Notamacropus eugenii: one gene and its partners. The protein of the gene in region 2 interacts with the protein of the main gene of each other region in a biochemical or structural test. Links are inferred from orthologs where the notes say so. Each region holds a gene or a part of one and is shown on either strand. Other genes may lie near its edges. The genes, in order: CACNA1D, SHANK1 and WWTR1.

Region 1 (7,418 bases), on a different chromosome or scaffold from region 2:
GAATGAATGCACCAGGAGAAAACTGGGCTCAAGCTCAGAGTACACGTGTCAAGGTAGGTGACTCAGTGTTTCTGGAAAGTTTTTCTGTAGAGTTCTCAAAATGTTTACCCTGTGTGGCCTGGCTCTCCTGCTGGGCATCTTCTGAAGTCCTGAAGTCCAGTGTGCCTAGTTGGTCTTTGCTGCCAATGCAGACTCTGCCCCTGGCCATATACTGTTGAACCAACCAGAGAAGCTGCTAGAATGCCAGTAAAAAGTCCGAATCCTCTGACCTTCTAGAGCACACAAGGTCATTCTCTGGTGACCGAGGGGACGAGGCTGAGGTACTCTTTTCTCATCTGACAAAGTTATTGGCCATAGTTACCGCAGGTTACCATAAGGCTAGTTACCTTAGTTGGATGGGTTGACTGATTCAGTCTTTCCTTCTCCCTTTCCCTCCTCGCTCCAATCCCACACTTAGACAGGGAAGGAAGGGAAAGTAAACGAGTATGAATACAAAATAAGGGTAGAGTTATGTAAGTACTGTCTCCAACAAAGCCAGAATGGACCAAGGCATGCTAAGGATGACAAAAAGGTCCTGTTTTTAAAATCTGTGTTTGAAGCAGAAAGGGCATCTAAGAAGAGAGGGGATTGTTGTTTGGCATAGATGGCATGATGCCAATATACAATGGTAAGAAGACCCAACTACTCAATTCTAATTTTGCTCAGGTTTTCTCTTCTAAGGAGAATCATCTCTGGATAAAGAACGGCAAGCAGAAAATCTAAAACGAAGCTAAGGTTAGAGGTGTTAAGGCAGCATCTGGCTGCCCTCAGCTACTACAGACAACCAGGCCTGGACCAACTACATTCTGAGACGGTTCAGGCAAGGCAGAAAGATCAGTGAGAGTTTTCATTTTTATTTTATCTTACATGTGAAAACGACTTTTAACATTTCATTTTTTAAAATTTTGATTTCCAAGTTCTCTCCCTCCTCCCTGAGTAGGCAAACAATTGTCTTGGCTATAGATAATACATTTGCTGCCATACAAAACATATCTCCATCCAGTGGGGCTTTAATGAAACCTTGTACTACAGTCGTTGTGTTGGTAGGAACAGAGAGCAGGGAAAGAGTTCCAGAACTATTTTAATTCAAGTCAAGAAATGTTTAATAAGCCCCACCCATGTGCCCCTCCTGATGTGAGGGGGAGGCAAAGACAAGAATGAAATAGCCTTCATCCTCAAAGGGCTTCCATTCTACATGAATAATGGATCTACATGGATCTGTGACCTCTTCCATTTGGTTCTTTCCTCCAGAGATGCAGATGGCCAGTCAGCCATGCCTGTCCATACCTAATGGAGCCCTCTCTCACCAACGTCCCTCAATGACTTTGCCACCAGGGCTCCTTTCAAAGTGGTGGAGGGCTTCCTATCTTTGCCATCTCCAACACAGGAACGGAACCCTCAGGCTGGCTCCTGGTTGGCTTTGGGTGTGACTAGGCCACCTTCTCTTCTTTTTCAAAAATCCAAATCAGGTCAATGCCGCAGCCTTCTCACTCCTACAGTCTGTCTCTCCATTTCTTGTTCAAACACCCTCCAAGGATCACAAACCTCAGGTGAGGCACAAACCAGGAAGATGTATACTCACAAAAGGACAAAAAGCTGTGATGGAGATCAATTTGAACAAGGATTCATTGTGAGGTCTCTCAGATTCTTCTCTTGGTGGATGCCATTATGATGGTTGCATCAAGGATAATAAAGAGCCTCCTGGAAGAGATCTGAAATCCCTCAGAAGAGTTTGATCAGACTATTCACACAGGATAGACCAAGTGGATGAAGAATGTCTTTTATCCAGATTAGGATATGTAGCAGCTTCTGGAGTCTGTCCATCAGTAGTCTGGTGGGTTTAGCATAATGCCTGGCACTTAGTAGGTGCTTCATAACTGTTTATTTACTGATGGATTGATGTACTGTGCGGTCTTTGGGAAATGGCAAAGGTTCTTAAATGACCTCAGACTTCCCATGAAAACAAAAGACCACCTTTTTAATATCAACATTCTATTGATGTTACTGTGTGGTAGCAAGATATGGAACATAACAATCTTTGAAGTTAAAAATGGAAACAATGTAACATGTGCCCTTGGAAGTAAATACAAAGAATATACAGTTATACAAGGTAATTTCTCTCAAAGGGAGAATGCTGATCGCTTAGAGCATCATATACAGCTTTGCCTCTCAGTGAGATTTGAAGGCCACTGGCCAGGCTATAAATTCTAAGAGCTTGAGGTGGAGAAGGAGTGAATTTCATGCCTCAGAGACAATCAGTGCAAAGACCCAGAGTCAGGAAGAGCAGAGTTCAAATCCAGCCTCAGATGCTTACTAGCTGGGTGACCCTCAGCAAGTCAATTCACCCTGTTTGCTTCTGTTTCTCATCTGTAAAATGAGCAGAAGGAGATGGCAAATCACTCCTGTCTCCTTGCCAAGAAAACCTCAAATGGGGTCATGAAGAGTCTGACATGACTGAACAACAACAGCCAGCAGGGCAGTTTGACTGGAATGGGGACTGTGTGACCTGGAGGAATCTGAAACTGGGCTGGCAGGAAGGTGGGAGCCATATTGCCGAGAGCTTTCTGAGCCAGGCTGAGAGTATGGCTGGCCCTCCACTTTGTCCTGGTGATTCTCAGTTTTAATTCTTCAAACAGTACAGTGGAAAGAGCCCTGGCTCTAGAGATAGAGAAGCTCCGTTTGAATTTTGTCTCTGACACTTAGTACCTATGTGATCTTGGGTAAGTCACCTCAGTTTCTTCATCTGTAAAATGGGGAGGTTGGACTAGGTGGCCGCTGAGGACCTTTGCAGCAACAAACCCAGGAGCCCAGGAAGATTTTGAGTAGGAGAAATCAATGGTTCAACGTGCACTTTTGGAATATTCGTTTCCTACCTGTGTGGGGGAAGGGAGTGAGGCAGGAATAGACTGATGAGGAGAGGGTAAGGTCGTAGAAGGCATACTAAGGTCAGGAAGAGGAGCAGGCTTTCGAGTAAAGGGTATCTTTGTAATCCTCGATTTACTCATCAGAAAAAAGAAGGGTTGCCATGGTGGAAGAACTCTGGTTCTGGAGTTAGGAGACTTGGGTTCCAAATTCATTTTTACGTGACCTTGGGCATGTCATTTTCCAGCTTCAGGCCTCAATTTCCTCATCTGTAAAACGAGAAGGTTGGACGAAAGGGTCTGTGACGCCCTTACCAGCCTTGGATCTCAAGACCAGTCAGGTAGAATCTGCCTGGTCAGCTCTCCGAGGGCGGGGCTAGGATCGAGGGACACCTGAGCCCTCCCAGGGGCGGGGTCTCCTTCAGGTGGGCTGGTCTGGAGAAAGTGGGAAGGGGGGCGGGGCGGGCAACTGTCATGCTCTCCATCCCGTCATCGTCGTCCCCCTTCTCCTCTGGCCTCAGAATTGCTAGGCAGGAGGAAGGAAGGCTGAGCCACCAAGGCCACCCGGTTCTGTGTGATTCATCCCCCCCCCCTCCCTCCCTCCCTCCTTCTCTCTCTCTCTCCCGCGCCGAAAGAGTTAACTGCTCTTGTGAGGGGGGAGGGGAGGGGAAGGGGAGAAGTTAACCCCTTCCCACCCAAGGGCCAGAGGCCGGTGAGCCCCAGGAGCCCCGGGCCGGGCTTGCCCCCTACCTGCTGTCCCACTCCAGGCCTGTGCATCCCCCCCAGCCCCTCTCCTGGGGCCAGGGTCCCGGAGGCAGGAGACCCGGCCCGTGCTCGTCCCCCGCCCCATCTGGGGGTTGCGGGGAGGGGGAGGAGAGGGGCCTGGCAGCGGGCCGAGCCGGGAGGAGGCTCCGAGGAGGAGGAGCGCAACGAGCGGAGGGAGGAGGGAGAGCGGCCAGCAGTGGTGGCAGCAGCAGCAGAGGTGGCAGCAGCATCTGCAGCAGCGGCGGCAGCGGCCTCGCGGGGCCAAGGCGGCAGCGGCGCGGAGTCTGTGTGGAGCCGAGCTCCTGCCTTCCTGCCCTCCTGCCGGTCCGCCTGCCGGGGGCCCGGATGTGAGCAGCAGCCCGGCGGCGGGCGAGGGCCGGCCGTGGGGCCCCGGCTGCCTTCGGCGGGGCCGGACCGGGGAAGGGAGGCCAGGAGGCAGCAGCCCCCTGCGCGGCGGCAGGCGCAGGGCACGGGCACCGGCGGGCACGGGCGGGCATGGGGGGCGGCCCGAGCGGCCCCCGCACCGCCCCCGGCCGCGAGGAGGAGACCTAAGCGGGGTCCGAGCCGCCCTTGAGCCCGGAGCTGCCGCCGGGCAGAGCCGAGTGGGTTATCGTAGGGCCGGGCAGGGGCGGGCACCGCGCCGCACCGCAGCCCAAGGGCGCCCCCAGCCCCACTCCCGCACCCCCGCGGCGGGCCGGCCGGCGCCGCCGCCGCGCACGCACACGCACACAGCAGGCGCTCGATAAATGGTCCGGGAGGAGGATGATGATGATGATGAAAAAAATGCACCCCCCGAGGCGGGAGGAGGAGGAGGAGGAGCACGCGAAAGGTGCGGGCTTGGGGGAAGGGAGGATGGAGGCTGGGAGGGATGGAGGGATGGAGGCAAGAAGGCTTGGACGATTGGAGAGAAGGAGGGATAAAGGAAGAGAGGAAAGGAGGGAAGGCCCCGGTCTGAGGATGCTCGGGAGCTTCGTTGCAGCGACATGTTTGGCGGGGGAGGGGCCGTAGGTGGGGGGTGGCCTCCAACCAGATGCAGGGAGCTCGAGGGGCGGCCCTCCGGGGCCGAGGTGACTTTTGGGTTTCACTTTCCCAGCACCGAGTCAGGTGTGTGGGTAGGGAGGGGGTGCAGGTGGAGGCCGGAAGCTGCCCAGGTTGGAGTCCTCAGCTCGGCGCGATCCTCTTTCTCCGTCTCCCCATTCTGCGAGGCCAATGGCTCTGGGGGGAGGCTCATCCTGCTCCCCTTCGGGCCTTTTTCTGTCTCCTATTCTTGTCTCAGTGTGACATTCCCGGCTCCCCCATTGTCTTGGGGGGCGTATGTTTCTGGTCTTCATCTCCTCCATTTCCCATTGCCTGGAGCGGCCCCTGTAACATAGCCATAGCCCCAGCACTTCCTGCAGATCGCCCCCCCGCCCCCCAAGAACCTGGAGAGACACGTGCGCTCCCGCCCTGCCGGCTGTCTGCCCTCCCTCAGCGTTCTTGCTCACAGCTCCTGGCTTTCTGGGCAGGCTGGTTGGCAGGGCTGGGGTCCCTGGGGCAGGCTTGCGCCTCTAACCTGAAAAAAGAGGGAATGCTCCTTTTCCAGGCCCCAGGAGGGGACCACAGCAACCCCATTTAGCTGAAGCCAGAGATGTGTCCTCACTTCCACATCGATACCAACTGGATGGGTGGGCTAGAAGCCTGTGGGCCCGAGGCCACATTCCTTTCCTCGGGTTATTCCAGGGTGGCCCAGAGACTGGGGCCAAGGTAACTGTAGGTGCTCTAGTGACTAACAGGGCAATTTATATGGCCCAGAGGGAGCTTTGGGACGTCTGGCCCTGGGGGTGGTAATGACCCTTTGGCTTTGATACTATTTATTTCCGAGTTGGGGATGCACTTTGTCTTCCCCAGCTATCTGGTTTCCAGGGTTTATTCCTTCTCCATCTCATTGCTTCTCATTGGCTTGACCCCTCTCCCTGCATCTTCCAATATGACTTAGGATGCCCAATGTACTGGTTTTGCCTCCTGTGGCACTGGGAACCATCTCAGCCATGTTCACAGACAGAAGCATCTTTGGAGGGCTACCCTGACGGTTGAGCAGCTGACAAACTCACACAAAACGGCCCTGTGGATGTCTGGGCATCTTGTTTCAGGCTAGCTAGCTAGGGCTCTGGGAAGCTTTTGGAAGGGGGAAAAGGGGTCCCATCTCCGGTTGGGAGGCCTCTGGTCTGGTGCAGGAGCTGTCATTTAAAAAATGCCAAAGGCAGAGATGGTTTCAGAAGCCAGCAGAGGAAATGAATGCCAGGCTTCATGAATTTTCATTTGAAGGAAGCGTGGGGACATAATCCAGATTATTTGCTTTGCCCGGATGACAGGGGAGGACTCTTTTTGCATGAGCTGGAAAGAATGTTTCTTTCCTTGCTGTTGAAAGATGTGGGACTGTCACCCTGAAGATGGACCATAATATGGAACGGAGGCTTCCTTTTTCTTTCCATCAAAAATCTTTGGGGTTTGGGGGGATTTCAGTGCTAACCAGAAGACCTGAACTTGGGGGCAAGGAGCTCACCTCCTGAGAGCTCAGAGCCTGGCATGGAATAAGAACTGATTAAAGATTTTTTCATTCATTTGAAGAAATAGAGGAAAATGTGTTTGGGGGAGACACAGGGATACAAAATTCACTGCATTGTGAAAACCCATTGTTTCTGCCTCCACTTTGGTAGACAGCCCTGGGCTTTGGAAGGTGAAGAATGAGATTTTGGGCGCAGCTATGCTGCTGAGTGAGTAAGAAACTACATTTTAAAAAACAGTTTGGAGGGGGGAAACCTAATAACACACACTTGTTCAGCTAGAGAACTTATTCATGTTGTTCTATCTGTCTGCCTCTCCTTTCCCTCTCCCTCTCTTCCCCTCCCCTCCCCTCTCTGTCTCTCTCTCTCTGTCTCTCTCCCTCTGTCTCTCTCTGTGTCTGTCTCTCTCCGTCTCTGTCTCTGTCTCTCTCTCCTCCTCCTTCTCCTCCTCCTCCTCCCTCCCTCCCTCTCCCCACCTTCTCTCTCTCCTCAGAGGCAAACTATGCAGGAGGCACCAGGAACTCAGTCTCTGGTGACAGACCACCGTTCCGGCCGAAGAGCTCCCAGCACTCCCAGCAGACTGTCCTCTCCTGGCAAGCTGCGATCGATGCTGCTCGCCAAGCCAAGGCTGCCCAGACTATGAGCACCTCCACCCCCCAACCTGTCGGGTCTCTGTCCCAAAGAAAACGTCAGCAATACGCCAAGAGCAAAAAACAGGGGAGCTCCTCGAGCAGCAGGCCAGCCCGGGCCCTTTTCTGTTTCTCTCTGAACAACCCCATCCGAAGAGCCTGCATTAGTATCGTAGAGTGGAAGTATCCTTTTTGTGAGTCGGGTTGGGTTTTTTCACCATCTGTTCCTCCAATATATCCCGTGTGCTCAAAGGATTTGGTCTCTGGAACCACACTTACGGAGCATGGCGGCTTGGAGCCCGAGGGGAAGGGGATAAGCTTGGTTTTATTTTAACCTCCGGCTCCCCAAGTGGGAAAGGGGTTAGCTCTGCAGTTATATTTAGCCTTCTGGGGGGGAGGGGGCTGCACTTGGGGGAAGGCTGTCAGAGATGGCAAAGCAGGCAGTTTGCCTGGGGTGAAGGTTGGGCAGCTGGTGAGAGGCACCGTGTTCAGGCTGCCTCTCCAGTCTCTCTTGGCTTTGGGCTTGGCCAGGCCTGGAGCCCATTTTGGTTTTCAAAAGAGGATTTTAAGAAAATAGACTG
Region 2 (7,320 bases):
CCAGCCCCTTGTCCAACAGTCTTGCCACCTTGTCGGATGTGCCAAGCTGTACATACTCCAGAAACTTCTTTAACCCGGTCTAGGTCAGGACATGCACAGACACACACACACACACACATATACACAGAGAATAACATACTTAGAGCCATGGAAGAGTAGGGGATGATGCACAGAGGTTGGAGAAAGGATGGAGGATGGTAGGAGACATAAGGTCTCCCAGTGTCAGATCCCCTCTACCTCCCTTCTCTGGTGGACTCAGGAATCCCCAGGCCTATCCATCTCAGGGAGGAAGGGAAGCTTAGGGAGATGAAATGAGGAATGGTTGGGGATGGAAGAAAGATAAGGGATAGGAAGGGGTCAAAAGGAAGGGTTCCAGGGGTCAAAAAAGAAGGCTATGAGGGGCCAACAGAGGATGCTTGGAGGAGCCATGAGATGAGGAAGGAGCATGGTATGGTCACGGGAGGGATATGGCGGTCAGTTGACTCAATTCAACAATTCAATAAGCATTTATTAAACACCCACCATATGCAAGACAGTGTCCTAGGGCATACAAAGAAAAGAAGAAAATATCCCTTGCCCTCAAAGAGTTTACCTTTTACTTGAAGAATTGAAGTGGGACTCACACTGGTACCCTCCTCCCCACCCCCATCCCAGCCTCTTTCAATGTAAGAGAAATAGGAGATATAAAGAGACAGAAATATAGATGGGGGGTGGGGGGAGGGAGAGAGAGAGAGAGAGAGAGAGAGAGAGAGAGAGAGAGAGAGAGAGAGCTAGTTAGGTAGATAGATAAGGAATTGCAGGAGAGAGGCCATGGGGGTTCATGAGAGATATGGATAGTGAGGTGAAGATACAGCAGATATAATGAGAATTGTCAGGACTTGAGGGAGAAGGCTACCAGGGGGACGAAGTGAGACGGGGAAGGGATTGTGGAGACTCCCAGGATAGAATAACACCTCATGTGTCTATAATGCCTTTAAGTTTCTCAGGTACTAGACACAAGGCTGTGTGATTGAGTGGAAGAAACTGGGGGGTCCTGGGAGAAATTCTGAGGCACACATACAGAGGGAGGAGATGAGGGGGAGGTATGGGAGGGTGGCTAGAGGCATCACAGGGATGGAAGCAGATGACAGAGACAGAGTCCCTTTCTTTCACCTTGGTATGGAGTTTTGCTAGCTGCTTCTCATCCAGATTGGTCTGTTTGTAAACCCGGGTCTTGTATCGAAACTGAGGCAGAGTGGGAGGTGAATTAAAGAAAGAGACATGAGGCAGAATTAGGGGGACAGTGAGCTAGACTACGAAGTCCAAGACTGGAGGGACAAGGGAGGGAGGAGGGGGCAGGGGAAGGGAAGTACACCTCAGCCCCTGCCTGGCCCCCAGCTCCGGCTGAACAAAAGGGAGAGGTGAGCAAAGAGTGTCAGGTAAAGAGGAGCAGAGATGTGGGTCCCCAGGGTGAAAAGAGAGGAGAGAGAGAACCCCGAGTGTCTGTCCATGACAGACACAGGGGCCAGGAGGGAGACCATGGACTGTTCTGGGACACCAGCAGTTCCCAGTCCAGCGGTACACTATGACCTGCAGAAGCTGGGATCAGGGCCACAGTGGGTAACTGGAATGGTGTACTGAAGCAGATAGTTACCTGATGAGGAGAACCTGGGTCCAGGGACTGAGTGTGATCTGTGCGCCAGCTGGAAGGGGTCAGAGGGACCACCCATTCCCAGCTCTCCTTTTACATTTACAGAGAAGGAAACTAAGGGACTCAATCTAATCCCACCATAGCTGGAAATGTGTGTCCTTCAGCTGCCCTGAGGACAGCAGGGAGCAGGGGGGGAGAACCTTGGCTTGTGGCCACTTCTTACTTCCCTGACCTTGAACAAGCCTCCTGACCCTTCTCCCTCCCCTTCTCTCATCTCTAATACCAGGGCATTTCTCTATCTCCAGGACTGGCACTCAGGTGCTCTAATTGCTGTGCCATCTAGCTCTAGAATCCAACAATTCCAGGGCTTTCCTTTCTGCCAGAAGAGGTCAAGGCCCTTGGGGATTCTTGGGGCCCTTGTGCCTCAGTTGGAGGAGGTGCCTTGGGAGGAGGGTGGGGAGAGAGAATGGGGCAAACCAAGAGCAGGGGTGCCGCTCACCTCGAGGTAGGGTACGCCCTTCTCAAAGGACTGGGGGTATTCTCGAAGCAGCCTCTCCTCCTCCAGGAAGTTGGCATCCCGGCCGGAGGATGCTGGCTGGAACAGCCCGTAGTTAAGCACGTCCTGGAGGCTTTCGCTCAGGGCACACAGGACTTGCTGCTTGGCAGCCCAGATGGTGGCGTCCGGATTGAATCGCAGACATTTCTGGAGTAGGGAAGAGAGTGTGCAGAAGGTCAAAAGGGAGGTGGGACCTTTTGAGGGAAGGGGAGCAGCTGTTTAGAGCTCATCCCTCCCCCTCCCGTGGTGATCTCCCCCCAGCAGAGTCAGCCTCTCCATCCCCTGAGAGCTGTAGATCCTGGCATCTGGAGCTGGAAGGACCTGAGGTCTGGCCTTCTCTCCTGTTCCTCACATGCCTTGGTCCCTACATCTGCCCGACTTGGTGCCTCCCAGGCCATTCCAGACCCCCCACTCACAGTCTGATGCAGATCTGGGATCCCAATCCGGAAGACCATCATACTGAAGTGGGCGTCGTCGGGCACCGACATGGAGCGACCCTGCAGGCGGCGGGCAGAGGCCAGGCTAATGCCAGCCCCCCCAGCCCGGCCCCGGGCCCCTTTGGGCACCCTCCCCGGGCCGTCCCGGGAGCTGTCGGACTCGGAGCCCCCTTCGGGGCACTCGCTCACACTGCGGCGCTCCTCCTCGCTGGACACGGGGCTTCGGGGCATCGTGGGGCCGCGGGGCCACAGGGAGCCGCAGCATCACAGGCAGCTGGAAGAGAGCAGGTGGTCACCCCAGGGTTGTGAGAAGGCAGGAGAAGTGGGAGCAGTGAGTTCACAATGAAGGGCTTCCAGGGTGGGGAAGAGCTCACACAGGGGCTCTTGGTCCACAGGATTCTCCTCTGTTCCTCCCTCCTGTTCTGCTGGACACAGGCAAAGGAGGGAAACAACAGACTCCCATGCAGCTGGAGGACTTGTTCCCACACCAGAGGGGGAGCACTGCGGGGCTAGGGGCAACAGCTGTGATACACAGCAGGTGCCCAGGTACCAAGGTGGTCATTGTCCTCCCTCACCTCCAGACATGCCCCCCCACAAGTCATCTACACCCACGCAGCCCCTGAGCTGTCTCCTTGCCCTTGTCCTTGGTTCCCCCCCCCCATCCGCCCCACTTTGCCGCTGACCCAGCGTAGCTGTGTCCCAGAAACCGAGAAATCACCGCGGGAGCTACTGGCCCACTTTGCCAAGCCACCAAAAATGCTGCTAAATTTAGGCGTGGGATCATGAGTGGCCTGACAGGTAGCCTGCCCTCCTGCCCTGGCCTTGCTCCTCACCCTGTCCCAGCACCTGGTGGAAGGGGGAGATTGGAATCACTGGACTGAGAGGAAAAGGGAAAGAAAGGCGGGACAGCAGCTTTGGTAGTTGGGGTAACTCTGTGAGTATGTGTGGAATTGGACAAGGTGCCTCAAAGGGTGCTGTTAAGCTAATTGTCCCCAGAGGAAAATATGGTGAATGGGGGACAGTGACTAGAACACTGTGCAGGTATAGGGGGCAACCAGATTGATATAGGTGAAGACCGTGAGGGTGATAGCATGGGGAGGGGGAACAAGACTTTTTATGGGGATGAGGTGGGTGTGGCACCGAGGAGGACTGATGCATTGGTGCTGGTGCCAGTGGGATGGTGGTGAGGATGATGGTAACTGGGTGGGGGGTCAATTAGGACAGAAATACATGGGGATGTAGGGCTAGGGGGTAGACTTGGAGGATACAGAGTGGGAGTGGTGTTGATAGTGAGGGGACCAGATTCTCTCTCTCTCTCTCTCTCTCTCTGGCCCCCCTATCTCCTTCCTCTTCTCACTCTCCATCTCTCTCCTCCCCCCCTTTTCATCCTCCTCAGTTGAGGTTGTGTGAGAAAGTAGTCCTGTGGTGGAAGCGGGAGTTGGCTTAAGATCACCCTCTTGTCTAGCCCCTTCCCCTCAGCCCCAGAAACAAGACTTCATGGCTTTTGTCCCTCCCCCCCACCCCCATCCCAAGCAAGGCCAGACTCCTGGGTTTCCATGGAAATTCAAAGCAGCCAAGGCCCAGCTGACTTTGGGAGGGGGGTGAGGGGAGGACAAATTGTGTTGGAAACATTTTTTCTGACAGGGACCCAGGCAACCCCCCCACTCCTCCCAGCTCCTGTTCCCCTCAAGATTTGGCATTTAGTCACATGATCCCCAACCCAATGCTCCAGCTGACCCCAGCCCTGATGGATTTGGGGGGAGTGGGGCTACCAGAGACTCAGCTTATCAACCCCCCCCCCCAAAAACCCACCACCCAGAGCAGTAGAGCTGACTCCGTCTCCCTGCAGACCTGCCTCCTTCCCTCCCAACGCTAGCATCAGAACCCCCCACCCCAAGGCCTGGACAAACACTGGCTCTCCCCTTCCCCCCCCAGCCCCGGGCTGAGGGCGGGAGCTGGCACACACAGCCGGGGCGGCATGAATCAAGCGCGCCGATAGCTAAGAATAGCTAGAACGCAGCTGGTGAGGAGACAGGCTGGGGAAGGCAGCCCTGGGGGTGGGGGAGAGAAAAGGGGAAACAGGGGCTATGGGGTGAGGGGTGGCCGAGAGGCCACCAGGCAGGTTGAAGCTCAGGGAGAAGAGAAAGGGGGAGTGAGGGTGGTGAAGATGGGGAGAAATGGAGAGGGCAGACAGGAGGCTCCTGGAGAGAACAAGGAGAAACTGGACTGAGGTGGGGTAGAGGAGGGAAGTAGTGGGGAATGGGGGGCAGGTAAGAGAAATAGGAGGGAGGAAGGGCAAAGAGAAGACTCCTGGGGGTGGACAAGGGAGGCTTTCCAGGAACTGAGAAGGGATGAGCCTGGGGGGAGGGGGGGCGGGAGGTGTAATGAGGGCAAGAGATAAGAGAACCCGGTTGTAACGAGGGTGGAAAAGGGGAGACTGGCCCGAGGCTGGGGAAAGGGGGAGGGAATAAAAGGCTTGGGGGAGGGGTGCAAGGAGAGAAGGAAGAGGAAAGAGAAGAGTAGCATAGTACGAGCTGAATGAGGGAAAGAGCTGGGATGGAAGTGGGAGGAAGGAAGGAATGGGAGAAGGGGACTGAGGTGTTAATGGGGCACGGGGTAAAGAATACTGGTGAGAGATAGGGGGAGCAGAGAGGGGGGTAGGGATAAAGAGATGGCAGCAGACATGAGGATCCATGGGAAAGAGAGGAAAATCAGCAGGAAGGAAGCATGAGGAAAGCGCCGGAGGAAAGATGAGGCAGAAAACAGTGGGAAGACGGGGGGGGGGGAGGCTCGGGAAAGATCAGTGGGGACGAGAGGGGGGAGGCTCAGGAGAAGGCACCTCTCTGAGGATGGAGAGGAAGGGCATGGAGGCCCAGGCCTCATCGGCAGGAGGGGAGGGGGTACCACGGACAGAGAGCATGAGGTGAGGGCTTCTGAGGGGCCTGGGATGAGGGAGTGGAAACATGGGGCAGAAGGGACGAGAGATAATGAGGAAGGGGAACCGGGACGGAGGGAGAACAAAGGGGACCGAGGACAAAACGAGGAACGGAGATAAGAGAGAGGGGGTGACAGGGAATGAGGAGAAAGGACAAGAGGGATGGGTGGGGGCGCTGGGCCAGAGAAGACAAAGACAGATGGGGTCAGAGAGGACAAGGGGGACGGAGGCGCTGGGAGAGATGGTGGGACCGGGGATGAGAGAGGTGAGGGACACCAGGGGGATGGGGGAGTGGCCAGGGAAGGTGGGGGAGCACCGGAGAAGGAGCACCCAAACCCAGGAGGCTAGGAAGGTAGGAGTGGAGCAGCAAGGCCAGGGTTTGGGGGAGACGGGCTCCAAGGGGGCCCCAACCCCCTTCCCGCTCGGCTCGGGATCTGGGACAGGGCACCGGGGACTGGGGCGTAACCCAATTCAACGTTGCCCACGGCAACGGTTCCCCTCACCCAGGCCCTCCCCCTCCCCCAAATGGGGGAAGCAGCGGCTAAAGACAGCTCGGAGCGCCCACCCCCCATCCCTTCTATCCGCACTCACACATGTTCCAAGCCCCAGCCCCCCCCCCCCCACGCCCCCAGTCCCGCTTACCTGACCGGCGGGGCTGCTGGGTCCCAGTCGGCGGCGCCCGCGGCCCCCTGTCCCCCCTCCCTCCCCACCCCCCACCCCCCCGAAGACAGAGACCCCCCCTCAGGCCATGCCCCTGCACCCCGGAGGGGGAGGGGGGAGGGGAGGGCCGGGGACCTCACCCCCCCCTCGAGCCGGGCCGGGCCCTGGGCATCCGCAGAACCCCCCCTCCCTCCTCCGGCCGCCCCCTCGTCCGCCTCCGGGTGGGCTCCGGGCTCCCCCCTTCCCCGCCCCCCTCGCGGCTGGCAGGCTTGGCGGAGGCTTCGGGATTCCTCCCCTCCTCCTTCTCCTCCTTCTCCTCCAGCCGCCGCCGCCGCTGCCGCCTCCCGCTCCTTCCTCCTCGCTTCCTTCCTTCCTTCCTTCCCTGCTCCCTCTCTCCTGCCGCCTGCTCTCCCTCTCCCTCTCTCTCTGTCTCTCCCTCTCTCCCTCTCCGAACGTGTGAGTGTGTCTCTCTCTCCTCCCCCTCTCCGTTCCCTCCCTCTCCCAGCCGGCAGAAGAGACCTCGCCCCTCCCCACGCCCCCAAACCTCGCCCGCCCCTCCTCTTCGCTAGTGGGACCCCAAGCCCTATCGTTCCCTCCCCGCCTCCAACTGGGTCCCCCCCTCCCGTGACCCGCCCACCTGAGGCTTTGCCCCTCCCCCTGTCCCCCCTTCCAGATCCCTCTTTCCCCTACTCCCCAGCCAACCCACGAAGATTTAGGAGGCCCTCCACTTCTCACCCTCTCCTCCTTTTCCTCTTCGGACCCCCCCACCTTCCGATGCCCTTCCCTTACCCCTTGGCCGTCCAGACTGGTGGGGGGCGGCTGACTTCCTCCCTCTAACAACTGAGCCCCGCCCTGCCCTTTCAGACCCGCCCCTTCCCCACCTGAAGGCCAGCCATCCTGAACTGACCCCCCTCCGGCCTAAGCACACTTGTACTCACATACATATGGGCACACACGTTTGTTCACATGCAGACCCAGGTACATATATATTCCTACTCAGACCCAAAGGTGCATGCACATTGCAACACCACACACATTTATCTTGTGTTCTACTTGTCTGGGTACCTATTGTATATAGCTTCTTACCAGAATGAGGCCAGGG
Region 3 (7,676 bases), on a different chromosome or scaffold from region 2:
GGCCATACAATTTATGGCACAAATATGATTCAAACCTGGGTCTTCCAATGTCCTACACAACTAAATTTCCCACTAACCAACAGCTATAGGACTTAAGGCCTGTGGCCTCAGCAATGGCTCTGGTGGGAAGCATGGTATAAAGAAAAGGCACTGACTGACTCTGGTATCAAAAGGAGGTGAGTTAGACTCCCAGCTCTGTTGGTTACAGGTTTATGATCTTGTACAAGTTATTCCTCTCTTTGGGTTATCCATAAAATGTGTGTGTGTGGGGGGGCAGGGGTTCTAAAAGTATATTGATAGGCTAAAGGCTTAGGCAGAATCTAAAAATATGAAATTCAGTAGGGACAAATGTAAAGTCTTACACTTGGGTACAAAAAATTAATGTCACAAGCATAAGATGGGGGGAGCATAGTTAGAAGTCTATGTTCTAAAAAGTATTTGGGGGTGTCAATATGAATCAGCTGTGTGATGTGGCAGCCAAGAAAATGCTAAGATGATTTGTTGATGCCTTAAGAGCATAACTTCCAGGAATAGAGAGGGGATAGTTCCATGTCACTCTGCCATCATCTCACTTGGAATATTGTTTCAAGCTTTCACAGTTTAAGAAAAATATTTATAAGCTGAAGATGAACATAGTAAAGAGTCTGTATCATATGAGGATTGAAAGAAGTGGGCATGTTTAGTCTGAGAAGAGATTAAAGGTGGATGAGAGAGTTGTCGTCAAGGATTTGAAGGGGTGGCATTTGATTGAGGGACCAGACTTGGGAAACTTGGTATGGGAAGAATGAACCAGGAGTAGTTGGTAGAAGTTGCAAAAAGGCCCATTTGGACTTGATGTCAGGAAAAACTCCCTACCATTATTGCTGCCCCAAAGTGGAAGAGGTTGGCTGGAAAGGTGGTGAGTTCTTCCTCCTTGGAGATCTTTCTTTCATGCAGAGGTAGGACAACCACCTGGATAAGTGAAAGTAGAAATTTCTTTCTTGTATGTGTGGGAGTAGACAGCTGCTGAGGTCTCTTCCAACTCTAAAATTCTTCGGTTATGGGAGAATCTCTAAATGTTGTCCCCCAAAATCCTATAAGCAAGGAGAGGTATGTTCATAGAGGCCTCCAGAGATAATCCATCTCTGCCTAGATGCTGTAATGTAATTATCACTTGTTCTAGAGCTATACTTTTGTTTGGTTTTTAAATTTTTAATTTGTTCCGAACTTAACAAACACAAAAAAACCCCATGAGCATTTCCCTATATGAAGCAGAACATAAAGTGGATCCTGTATGGACCATGAATTTCTATTTTGTACCTCTTGCTTCTTAAAAACATATAAAATAAATCTCACACATTATTTTTAAAGCTGTTCTGCTATGCTGCTTTCTGTACTCTTCTGTTCATTTAAATCCCTCTTTTCATGACCCCGTTTGGAATTTTCTTGGCAAAAATACTGGAGTGGTTTATCATTTCCTTCTCCAGCTCATTTTATAGATGACAAACTGACACAAATAGGGTTAAATGACTTGCCCAGGGTCACATAGCTAGTAAATATCTGAAGCCAGATTTGAACTCAGAAAAGAGGAGTACTTCCTGACTCCAGACTCAGCACATCTAGCTGCCCCCCTTTTTTTCGTTGTTGCTGCTAACTTGTTTTCTGGGTTCTGCCAACTTCAATCTGCATCAGTGTATAAAACTCTTCCTAGGATTCTCTGAGATAGTCTCTGACAATTTCTTATAAGGCTATTGTACTCCATTACAATCATATAAAACCATTTGAACTCAGGTCCTCCTGACTCCTGCGCTGGTGCCCTATCCACTGTACCACTTAGCTGCCCCAAGTGTCTCACCTCAGACACTTGACACTCACTAGCTGTGTGACCTTGGGCAAGTCACTTAACCCCAACTGCCTCATCCTGGGTCATCTCCAGTCATCCTGATGAATATCTGGTCACCGGATTCACATGGCTCTGGAGGAGAAGTGAGGCTGGTGACCTGCACAGCCTGCCCTCACTCAAAACAAAGTCAAATGCAAGTCATTCTTTCTCTGATGGCATGGTCTTCTTTGACAGCAAAGGACGAACACTCACACATACACACACAACAGTTTAGCCATTCCCCAAATGATGGGCACTCGACTCAGTTTCCACATATTTTCTTTCCTTCCTTTCAGTTCTCTTAAGGAGGCATTCTCTGAAGCTGATTTGTTTTGCTTCCAACCATTCTCTCCTCTTATTATTTATTCTCTTTTTTCTTTATCTGTTTGCTATATTGCTACAGTAAACTCTGTGTATATGTGTTGTATCTTCATTCCTCTATTGTCAGCTTCTGGGCACAGTGTGGTTCCTCTGAGGTCTATCCTGACTCCAGGTCTAGTCCATATCCACTTCACCAACCAATTTCTACACCAAACTTTGAGTGTTTTCAACACTCCTTTACCTGTTACAGGGAAGAGGGAGGTCCATCTGATTCCAACTCTTCCTCTTTGTACACTTATGAGAAATAGTAAGGTCCACCAACTTCTTTCTCCTTTTTCTTTTTTTTAACCCCAGTGTATTTTTTTTTTCCCTTCCCTTCCTTCCTAAAACCTTTAGAAGTGAACCAACCCAACTGAAGGTCCTCTGTTACCCTTACTTAACACCCTCAATACCTTTTGGAGATAATAAAGTTCTGAACAACAATATGTTTCCCTTCCCCCATTAGAATGTTAGCACTTTATGGTAGTATAAAATCTTTTCCCCTACGTATGGTTAGAGACAACCTTAATTGGGAGGCAAGTTTGTGGGGAGTGGAGTTTTCCCCTGATCTGAGGATCTCAGTTCTTATACCTACCACCTGCTCAGCTTCCATTTTTGCAATGGAAATGTCAGTGTCATTCCAATCCTCCCACCCACACTTGGGGCGGGATGGGGTGGTGGCTCGCTCTACTCCTTCCTAGCACCTCGCGTTTGACCCGGTTTCCTCTCAATTCCTAGTAACTTGGAGACAAAGGATTAATTAATGGTTCAAAGGGAGTTTGTTTACTGATCGTTAGAAACGAAGATCTGGTAGGGAAAAGCACCCGGGCACTTGGGGCGCTGTCTACACTACAGCCGACTACCACTCCACAATCCGAGCCCCACCACGCCGAGGAGCTCGGCGCACCAAATATGGTCACATCTGAAAAGCCTCCCAGGAAAAGATTGTTCTTGTTTATTCCACCAGGAGCGCTTGTCTGTCGGGTTCCAAATACTCAATTCTTCGGGGTCCTGGCAGTTCCACGGGACTACTCTGTCCTCCTGTTAAGGGAGAGTGTGGCCCCGTACGTAGCAAATACCTCGAGTGGGAGCCGGGGCTGCGACTTCAGTCTCCTCCTTCCTGGTCCCTTTGGGGCCGCAGCACCCAACTCCCAGCTCCCAGACTCCTCTGTCTCAGTCCACTAGTGCTTTATTGAATAGGGCCACCCACCTCCTTTGATCCAGTCCCAGACCCTATCCAAGGCAGTGGTAAACTCAAAGGAATGTAGATCCTGAACCCGGCAGGAGGAAAGGGAGGGAGGCTTCAGCGAACTTCTCGGCCTCGGATCCCCGGAGGAGGAGAAGAGCGAGGGGGGTGTGTGGGGGGGTGATTTTGCCTCCTCTTACCCAGTAAAGTACTCATCACGCCCAGGGCTAGCAGAAGCCCAGGACCGGGAGGAGGAGGAAGAGGAGGGGCGAGCGGGGGCAGGCAGTCTCTGGACGCGGAGGTCATGCATAATTCATCAGCTAAACTTTCGGCCCCGCCCCTTTTCTGAGGGTTGGAGTTTTCCCTAAACTTTGTTTATGGGACAGTCCGGGAGCAGCCGCGGCCGCTCCGTCTCCTCCTCCTCCTCCTTTTCTTTCTCCTCCTCCAGCTCCGAGATAATCCAAGCTTGATGCTGGGCAGATGGACCGGAGGATGTGAGAACGGAAACCCCTCTGCCAGGTCAGAAGTCAAGTCCCGAGCTGGAAGTCCCGGTCCTGTGTCCACTCCCACTGTGCCCCCAGCCTCTAAGCAACTAGCCTGGGAGTCGCTGACGAACGAACCGACGGATCGACGGACCCCAAGGCCCTGGGAGCCGAGTCTGGTTGCGAGACCTGACTTTGCCAAGTTGGGATCCGGACGGCGCGCCGGGCTCCCAGTCTGCGCCTCGGCCCGCTTGGCTCGGGCCGGCTGCCAAGGCTCCTTTGGGCTCGGTCGCCCCGGGATCGGGTCCTTCGTGGAGCTGAACAGCCTCGGGCTTCGGGGCTTGTAGTGCTCGGAGTTCCTGGCCCTGTCGGCTCGGGAAGCCGCGAACTCTCCCCGGACACTGAGCCGCCGGACCACGTCCTAATTAATCCGCATTTCCACGCGCCCTCCTCCTTCTTGTCCTCCTGCGGGGAACTTCGGGGCCACTGGAAAGTTGCATAATTGTCGAGGAGGCGAGGATTTCCCCTCCCCTCCCCCCCGGGCCGGCCTGACTGGCGAAGGAAGGTCTGTTAGAGATCCTCGGAGAGGGCATCGATCCCCGTCCCGTTCCTCTCCAAGTTCTCTCTGAAGTTTTCATTTTTAGGGGCTGATCCCCAGGCCAGCCCCCGCCCCCGCCCCCGCCCCCGCCCCTTTAATAAACCTGCAGCTCGGTGTGTAAGTGTGTGAGTTAGTGGAGAGTGTGAGATCGGGAGGCGCACGATGAATCCCGCTTCTGTACCCCCTGCTCTGCCGCCCCCGGGGCAGCAAGTCATCCATGTCACCCAAGACCTCGATACAGATCTCGAAGCGCTCTTCAACTCCGTGATGAATCCCAAGCCAAGCTCGTGGAGGAAGAAGATTCTGCCCGAGTCCTTCTTCAAGGAACCCGACTCCGGCTCGCACTCCCGGCAGTCCAGCACAGACTCGTCGGGCAGCCACCCGGCCCGGCTGAGCAGCGGCGGCGGCCCGGTCGCCGGGGGTGCCCAGCACGTCCGCTCGCACTCGTCGCCCGCCTCCCTGCAGCTGGGCACCGGGGCCGGGGCGGCGGCCAGCGCGGCGCAGCAGCACGCGCACCTCCGCCAGCAGTCCTACGACGTGACCGATGAGCTGCCGCTGCCTCCCGGCTGGGAGATGACCTTCACCGCCACCGGCCAGCGGTACTTTCTCAAGTAAGTGATGGGACTGCCTGACGCCTTCCGGGGGTCGCGGGAGGGGTCCGGTGCGTGAGTGTAGGAGTACACAGGTAGGTGCGTGTGCACACACAAGCGAGTACATCTACGTGTGCTTGAATGCATGAGAGTGCTGCGTGCCCCGGTGACAACTCTTTCTCAGGGGTGCAAGAGAGTGGTCCCGGGGCAGGTCGCTGTAGCGTTGGCACTGTGTGCGGTGAGGGGGGTGGAGATCAGGACAGTGGGTCGGGATCTGCTGGCTAGGGAAACGTAAATCCCTGCTGTCGTGGGGGCCTGAAATGAAACTGGGAGGGGGGGGGGGGATTCCCAGGCTGCTTGTAGGGATAACCTTGCAACTAAATAAAGGTGGGAGCGATGGAAAAGATGAGTCGTGTCCAAGTGGGTCCAGAGTAGGGCTGGGAGGCTGGCGAGGGCATCTGTAGATGCCAAAGTGCCAAGGAAAATCCGAGTGGGCAAGTTTCCGTCTTTCAGGGTCTTAAGGAAATGATGGGTTTTTTTGGGGGGGGGGGCGCAAGTTTCTCTTGTCTGCAATTTTCTCCTTGATGGAAAGAAAGTTGAAAAAAGTGAAATGGAACGCTGGGAGGTTGGACCGTTCGCCAGCCTCTCGTTGACACCGTAAGTTACTCTGTTGTTAGAGTAGTTACGGGCTGGATAAAACAATTGTGTGGAAATTAGGTCAGGAGAGTTTCTTTGTGTCAGCTGGGGAGAACCAGAAGACTGTGTACATGGCCGCAGCGCCTTTTGCAAAATTTCTCTCCCAATCACAGCTTTGCTGTGAACATTAAACTTTAATTAAAGTTTGGACAGTTGTAACCACAGACTTCCGGAAAGGAAAGCTGTGGCTGCGGCCTCTCTTCTAAGAAACTAATCATCATGAGAAGAAGGCTTGCAATCTGAAACGTGCCCAAGCTCCCAAGGTCCGACCTTGAGCTTATACCAGGGCTGGCGCTGGCTTAACCTGGGTTCAGATATAGCCCTAGATACGTTCATTAACTGTGTGGCGACAAGAAACCTACTTAACCAAGTGGAATCTAGTTTTCTCATCTGTAAAATGGGGACAAGTACTTCCTCCAACTTTAAAGTGAAATATGGAGTGGATTCATATTTGCGATTTTATTGGTGTAGGGGTTCCTGTGTGGAAATGCCCTTCACCCATGTGGATCAGGCACTCCTCCTTACTTGACTGACTGAGAGTCCTCGAGTTGCCTTCTTTGTTTCACAGCAAAGATATTCCAAAGGTCGGACTCGAACCCAGGTCTTCGGTGCTCTACTCACTATGTCGAGTTGTCTGTCAAAAAATCTATATAAGTGAAACTTATCTGTGGAGTCATTCTTTGATACTTTGGAAGATACTGCATCCCTTCTGATTCACATTCGATGGTCCCTTCCAAATAAACTAATCTGTGCTTATGAATAAATTAACTAATAATTAATAAATTAATCGAGTGCTTATTGCAGTGCCTGGAACTGTTTATTGATTGGTTGCCTACAAGGATGTAAGATTTTTTTGGTTGCTGTTTTCATCTCCTTAACTCATGCTGGTGAATAATTATCTGAGAAGCTCTTTCCTGCCCTTTCCAAACCAAAGTAGGTAAAGAGGCTCAAAAGAAACTAGAGGAGATGTGTAAATTTAGAAAATCCACTCCAAGTTTCACATGGACTATTTGCACCCTACCTGTAGTAGAACATTCCAAACTCCTGTTGGTCTGATCAGCCACAACTGGACGCACTAATTTGACTATAGCATAGTGATGTCATTTTGGTCCTCTTCCAGATGGAAGGACAACAACCAGCTAACCAACCAGATAACCTGGTGGCATTCTGATTAATGAATGCTTGATTTTATTTCTGATGTGGACGGAAAACAGAGTCACTGGACTGAAGCGGATGTGTTTTGTCAATTTGATTCCCAACGTAGTGTCCTTGAGCAACATAATGACAAGGTACAGGGGCTGGAAGCCCACCTCTGACAAGAGGAGTTTGATCATAGGTCCTTTTTCTTCTCTGAACCTCAATTTTCTCATCTGTAAAATGAGCATCATATTCTAGGGACTAAAGATGTCCTAGGTTTGAGCTGACGATTCAGTGAAATCCTTTGGGCAAAGAGTTTTGCAAACCTTAAAAGTGATAAAGAAACCCCAGCTTTTAATATAGATGGTAACACTGCACTGACAGGGAATGTTTTAACTTATTAATACCCACTGTAAGTCAAGAATACTATTTATGCTCATATGCATCAGGGTACAATAACTTCGTCTTAAAGGAGGCCCTTTGGGCTTCGCTTATACCATTTTAAAGGTCAGGATGCCTATAAAATTTGTCATTTTAATTTTGCTTAGGTAATGAAATTTTCAAAGATGTTAATGTAATTTTTATAGGCATATACTTAGTCAGGATTAAGTGTCATGGTGTAGTGGAAAGAGAACTGGCTCTGTAGTTGGAAGATCTGGGTTCAAATTCCTACCCTTGTTTCAGCCAACTTTTGTGTAACCTTGACACAGTAACTTTACCTCTCTGGGTCTCAGTTTCTCACCTTTATGAAGTAGAAGGATTAGTC

Evidence for each region.
Region 1: the proteins of SHANK1 (region 2) and CACNA1D interact in a biophysical measurement, tested with the Homo sapiens proteins (2 studies listed by IntAct, with this or other methods). The link is inferred for Notamacropus eugenii from reciprocal best matches to the Homo sapiens genes SHANK1 and CACNA1D.
Region 3: the proteins of SHANK1 (region 2) and WWTR1 interact in a test that uses a peptide from one of them, tested with the Homo sapiens proteins (2 studies listed by IntAct, with this or other methods). The link is inferred for Notamacropus eugenii from reciprocal best matches to the Homo sapiens genes SHANK1 and WWTR1.

Annotation. Positions count from the first base shown.
Region 1 is NC_092874.1:478,296,891-478,304,308, reverse strand, and holds the start of CACNA1D (voltage-dependent L-type calcium channel subunit alpha-1D), read left to right. Parts: upstream 1-4,412; 5' UTR 4,413-4,427; coding exon 4,428-4,494; intron 4,495-6,361; coding exon 6,362-6,418; intron 6,419-6,701; coding exon 6,702-7,020; intron 7,021-7,418. UniProt on the Homo sapiens protein: Voltage-sensitive calcium channels (VSCC) mediate the entry of calcium ions into excitable cells and are also involved in a variety of calcium-dependent processes, including muscle contraction, hormone or neurotransmitter release, gene expression, cell motility, cell division and cell death.
Region 2 is NC_092876.1:4,917,464-4,924,783, reverse strand, and holds the start of SHANK1 (SH3 and multiple ankyrin repeat domains protein 1), read right to left. Parts: upstream 3,100-7,320; 5' UTR 2,855-3,099; coding exon 2,603-2,854; intron 2,334-2,602; coding exon 2,130-2,333; intron 1,225-2,129; coding exon 1,153-1,224; intron 80-1,152; coding exon 1-79. UniProt on the Homo sapiens protein: Seems to be an adapter protein in the postsynaptic density (PSD) of excitatory synapses that interconnects receptors of the postsynaptic membrane including NMDA-type and metabotropic glutamate receptors via complexes with GKAP/PSD-95 and Homer, respectively, and the actin-based cytoskeleton.
Region 3 is NC_092877.1:338,525,251-338,532,926, reverse strand, and holds the start of WWTR1 (WW domain-containing transcription regulator protein 1), read left to right. Parts: upstream 1-4,649; coding exon 4,650-5,098; intron 5,099-7,676. UniProt on the Homo sapiens protein: Transcriptional coactivator which acts as a downstream regulatory target in the Hippo signaling pathway that plays a pivotal role in organ size control and tumor suppression by restricting proliferation and promoting apoptosis.